Linked DNA regions of Tribolium castaneum. The protein of the gene in region 1 purifies or fractionates together with the protein of each later gene. This does not show direct contact. Links are inferred from orthologs where the notes say so. Each region holds a gene or a part of one and is shown in the gene's direction. Other genes may lie near its edges.

Region 1 (2,420 bases):
TTGCGAGGGGTAAACATCTGATCTAAATCTTGTACACCATACATTCCTTATACATCCTTTTACAGTCCTGGAAATCCTTGAAGTTGTACAGCTATCCCTCGAAACACTTTTTTTGTATTCACCTAAATGATCCGCAAAAGTTGCCTTAGCGAGCGAGAAAGACTCAATTTAGGAACTCAAATATCATTCCACAACTTCTTGGGTTTAAGTTCGAAAAGCCCTAATTTTAGGCTCATATGAGTCTCTAAATTTGTCCATTATTGATTTAAGTACTATTTTACGAGTACAGTAAAACTTCTCAACAACGGACACTGATGGGGAACCTTTAATTGTCTATTGTGGAGAGGTGGAAATTTTAATATATTGTTAACTTCTTACAAAAATGTCTGTTGTGAAGAGGTGTCCGTTTTTCGGAGGTGTCCATTAAGGGAGGTTCCACTGTATTTCAATAACTGTTGATATTGAATAAAGATATTTTCAAGCAAAAACCGATCGATTAGGATCTCGAAGGGAAATTCAAAACCAATATTAGTTACATTTTAGGTTTCATCCCCTGATCGCTAGCCACCCCTACTTTAAAATTTAAAAGGAGGGAAAGGCTTAAAGAAACAAAATATTGTTTTTTTTGTTTTGTGTTAAAAGTGATATTTTATTTTTTAAATTTTCAGTCTTTACTCAAAATTCAAAACCAACAAAAAATAATCGCTAACCACGCTCTTTACCAAATTATTTTTTTAAATAAGGTAAAAATAAATGTAAGATACGTATTAATGGTTAGATCTCATTGAAAATATAAATTACATTATCTATCAATTTTTTGAAGTGTATAAATAATTTATAACAACTAATTTTGAGAAAAATGTGACGTTGGCGTTTACATACTTTTCAAAGAGCTAATACTTTAAACTAACGTTTAAATTTTGAATTGGCGCCATTGCTTGGTTCAAAAACGGAAAACCCTGCTCATGAGTAGGTTACTAGATTTACATTCCATTAGCTTAGTCGGGTGCTAACGAGCTTAAAACGATGGATTCATCCGATTACGTGCTAGAAACGTTGAGAAAAGACATAACTGAGCACAATTTACAAATTAGAGCGATAATTCAGGTGCGTATTACCCACAAATAAACCCTGATTTTTGACACGTCCGTGTTGTGGTAGGACATCAACGCATGCGTCGGCCCATTGGCTGAATTGCAAGGTTTGAATAGCGCGGGACGTTCAAAAATTTCCGCCTTGCGGAAATTCATCGACAAATTCGGGGATATAGCCAAAGAGCGCAAAAACCCCACGTTTTTGAAAGACGTAGTTTCGTATCGTGAACAATTAGCGAGGTGATTTGGTGTATTGTGTCGCATTTGTGTGAAGAGATTAATTTTGTAGCACAATGGAGGCGTTCAAAAAGGCCAATATTAGTGCGATGTTGGCCATAGAAAAGGGGGCTCAGGAGGAGTTGTTGAAACCGAAAACTGAGGAAACGGCGCTGCGTCAAAGGCAAAAACGCGATAAGGAAAATTTGGTCAAAATGAGCTCAAATGTAACCGAACAGTTGTTATCAATCAGTCGGCAATTAGCTGATACGACGAAAAGGAGTGCGGATACGCTGGACGCGCTAGTTACTTCCTCCGATAGTGTAATCGGGTCACAGGAAGAACTCAAAATAACCTCAAGTACAATTAGCCAGTCGGGGAAATTGCTGGCGAAGTATGGGCGAAGGGAATTCACCGATAAAATCCTCATGTTCTTTGCGTTTGTCTTCTTTGTGGCGTGTGTTTTTTATATCGTGCAAAAACGATTATTTTAAATAAACTTCAACTACTTTCGTTATAATGAGTTATTTTACGAGTATTGTTTTTATAGACTGAAGGACCTTGGTCCAAGGCATCTGGGAAGCCCCCAGATTACGCTAAATAAATTATTTATTGTATTGTTGTAACCACATTATTATTAAAATACGTTTCGTTATTATTGAGACATTTATAATAATAATAATATTGGGTTTTTAAAAGAACTGATTTTTCCCTCAGTTCGTACTAGCTTTTAATCACAAAGACAAAAAATCACCTACTTTAATTATAAATTCAATTGATCGCATGGTATTTAAATCTCTTAACAAAACTCAATTGATATGATTGTTTAAAACCGACGTATTTTATATATTTTTATGTATTTTCGGTTAAACAAGAATGGGGAATATAATCATAAGCTTCTTTATAATTTATGAAAGTACAGATTTTTCTATTATGATTTCTTGCTTGTTCTATAATACGCTGTTCTTTACATTCAACTGATCTTTTAATACAACGGTTTTGGTCTTCATTAATTATTCTTAAAGCATTGATCAAATTACCTTTTAAACTATCCAATTCAAATATACAGCGAAGATTTTATTTTACCGAACACCCTAATTCTATTAATCC
Region 2 (2,940 bases), on another chromosome or scaffold:
GTGAACAATTATCTTGGTTAAGTTCAGTAGTGGCAACAGGAAAGCCCCTGAACATAAGTCAATTGATTTGGACAGAATTAACAAAATTGGGTTTAAAATAATTAAGTTTGTGACCTGGTCCAGTGTTTCATTAATGTCGTAGATGATTTCTCGCGGGTCGTAATTACTTTTAATCAATTGGAAGAGGGAGGAAACTTGCCACAAAAGTAGCAAGTCTTGGTCGAAATTATCGGATAATTCCGCCAAGAATTCGGAGTTAATCTCGATTGTGTCCCTGTTTTCAAACTTGAATAATTCAGTTAATTGCATCACTTGTTTTAAATAATTACTTACTTGCATCCAGGACAATAAGCAATTAATTAGCTCCTCGTTATTATCGATGATAAAACTCCATAGTTTTTGTTTGAAAGTCGGGAAACTTTCCCCGTTAGGGTCACACAAAACGTACAAAAAAACCGGTTTGTGTAACTCATTGTAATGACAAATCGTTCTGCAAAAAATAATAACTAACTGATCGTTGAAACGTAATTAATACTTCGGGTTTGCCGTTCTGTAACAAAAATTAATCTCCCGAAAAATCGCGCTCCACGAATTTGGCGCCTCTCTCAGCATTACAATAAAGGGGTGTTGGGGCACTTGCAAGTTATACGACGATTTGTACCCACTTTCTTCCAAATCAGTGATTAGCAAATTATTAATTAAAAATGCCACGTTTGGGGCGAACCTGAAATAAACCAGCCATGACAACGCCCCAGTGACACAACCCCCATACTTTGCCGTTGTTATAAGTGTGACAAAGTCAGTAATCACCGATTTGGCCACTTTGGGGTCACTTTTCACAATTTGTAAAATGGCCTCGGCTGCTAAAACACTGCCACTCATACACTTTTCCCGCAAGAGTCTGAACTCGGGCACTTCGAAAATATCACCACTTTGGCGCTTTTTCACAATTTGGGCCAGTTTTGAGACGATTTGAGTGGCCACAGTTGGGTTTTCCGAATCCAATCGGGTGCTCAATTCGTCCATGATTGAACAGTAATCAGGCACAATTACTCGATTTTTGGCCCGTTTTGGCCCACACACGTGTTTTTAAGTCAAAATTCCTTAAATAATTTTGTGGGAAATTTGAGGTTTGGTTTTTGACAATTGACATTTCAATTTTTTAATCGTTAATTATCAATTTTTGTGGCTTCGTTTTGGTAGTGTAGGTCCATGGCCTAAAATAGTGCAAAAACCACGACACAAAACCGCCCAATTTGCATAATTTGGGGCACAGTTCCCCTTACGTAACCTCACTTTTATCTGTCAAAGTTCGATTGAACACGTCGGTATTATTGAAATGAGGTGATTAAGCGAAAGTTCGTGGTCCTTTTCGTAAAACTTAGCACGAGCGGGTTTGTTTGTTGGCCAAAATGGGGCTGTCGCGTCAGGAGGTGAACTTGCGGCGCCTCCTGGCCAAGTGCGAGCTCATGTGCAAGAGCAAGCAAAAAGACGACGACCGCATGCCTAAATACGTCGAAAGTCTTGAAGACATGTACCAAGAAGTGAAAAAAATGTCAGAGTGAGTTGTCCCAAAACCCCCGAATTTTCACTAAACCAGGCGTTTAAGTCCCAACTATGAGTTCCTGCTGACGTACCAGCGCCGTATCGCAGCCATTAAGGCCGACTTGGGGATCACTACAAGTAAATACCCCCCTGAAAACGACACCGAATTGCTCCGGGAGAGCCTCCTAGGTCTGTGGCCCCTTGTAACAGTTCATGGTACTAGTAAAGCTTGCAGGCGTGAGGCACCGCAAAGGCCCCGAAACGAGCGACTTAGACCAAGTTTTGAATTTCCACGAAAACATGCAACAGAAAATCACCGACGATATGCTCATCTTGACCAAAAACTTGAAAGAACAGTCGGAACTAGCCAATAAAATTATCAAAAAAGACACCGAAGTTGTGTCGCGATCGGCGCAACTAACCGACCAAAACTATTCCAAACTGAGCGCGGAATCGAACAAATTGGCCGAGCACTCGAAACGGGCCTGGAAATGCTGGATGTGGATCATGTTACTTGTGGTTGTGGTTGTTTTTATTAGTAAGTCGCCGAATGAAATAACTTTGCCTCCTAATTAATTTATTCCAGATATGGTGTTATTTATGAAAGTGATGAAGAAAAAATAAATTACGTTCTTTGCGTTAGGTTAAACTCGGGTTTGTTTCGAGTGAAAAAGCGATTAAAGTCGAGCTGGTGCAACAACTGGACCAAGTGTTGGCCATCGGCTCGTTCATGTAACTTGTACAGAATAAACAAAAGCGAATCGACGATGGTATCGGTGCGTTTCTGGAACTGTTCAAACTCGGTTACTTCCGGTTCGGTTAACTGCGGTTGCCATGTCGACGCAATGACGCAGAAATTGTCACACAGCTCCAGCAGCTGGATTATCACGTTGTAAACCTTTAACAAACCATTAATTGTTCAATTAAACACTTAATCAACAATTATTACTTCACTCGGGACGTTAAACTGAACGGCGGGAGTTTGGTGTAACCGGTGTTTGTTTTGATAAGTGTGGCTCTGCAAAATTAATTCAGTCTAACCAAAGTAATTTCAAAACCGACTTGACTTACTTTATCAGGGGTCAGGATGAAAGTTTTCGCGAGTAAATTGCTGATGAACTCGTGATGGACTTTGATGATCTCCTCGAATTCGTTGGCGTTTTCGATCGCTTTCAAAAGTAGCGAAAATTGCGCCTCGATCACGTCCACTTGGAGGTAATATTGTAGATTATTGACTAGGAAAATTAAATGCTGGCGTAAAGTCCACACTCGCCGGTCACTAAATTTGCAAAAATTAACAATAACCGATTGATTATTTAATTAATACACACATGTTTTGTTTCCCGGACATGTGCGCTTGCCACAACTTGTGTAAGTGGATCTGAGTTCTGCTCA

Evidence for each region.
Region 2: the proteins of Sec20 (region 1) and Use1 purify together in Homo sapiens (co-immunoprecipitation; 4 studies listed by BioGRID and IntAct, counting the BioPlex papers as one, with this or other methods). This does not show direct contact. The link is inferred for Tribolium castaneum from reciprocal best matches to the Homo sapiens genes BNIP1 and USE1.

Annotation. Positions count from the first base shown.
Region 1 is NC_087395.1:17,502,728-17,505,147, reverse strand, and holds Sec20 (vesicle transport protein SEC20), read left to right. Parts: upstream 1-925; 5' UTR 926-1,026; coding exon 1,027-1,107; intron 1,108-1,161; coding exon 1,162-1,334; intron 1,335-1,383; coding exon 1,384-1,804; 3' UTR 1,805-1,830; downstream 1,831-2,420. UniProt on the Homo sapiens protein: As part of a SNARE complex may be involved in endoplasmic reticulum membranes fusion and be required for the maintenance of endoplasmic reticulum organization. Also plays a role in apoptosis.
Region 2 is NC_087396.1:21,173,881-21,176,820, reverse strand, and holds Use1 (vesicle transport protein USE1), read left to right. Parts: upstream 1-1,412; coding exon 1,413-1,561; intron 1,562-1,609; coding exon 1,610-1,734; intron 1,735-1,780; coding exon 1,781-2,083; intron 2,084-2,096; exon of another isoform or gene 2,097-2,131; coding exon 2,132-2,169; 3' UTR 2,170-2,170; downstream 2,171-2,940. Other genes in the region: focadhesin, read right to left, coding at 1-285, 334-490, 536-724, 773-1,026; Grip75 (gamma-tubulin complex component 4), read right to left, coding at 2,171-2,443, 2,495-2,563, 2,617-2,824, 2,877-2,940.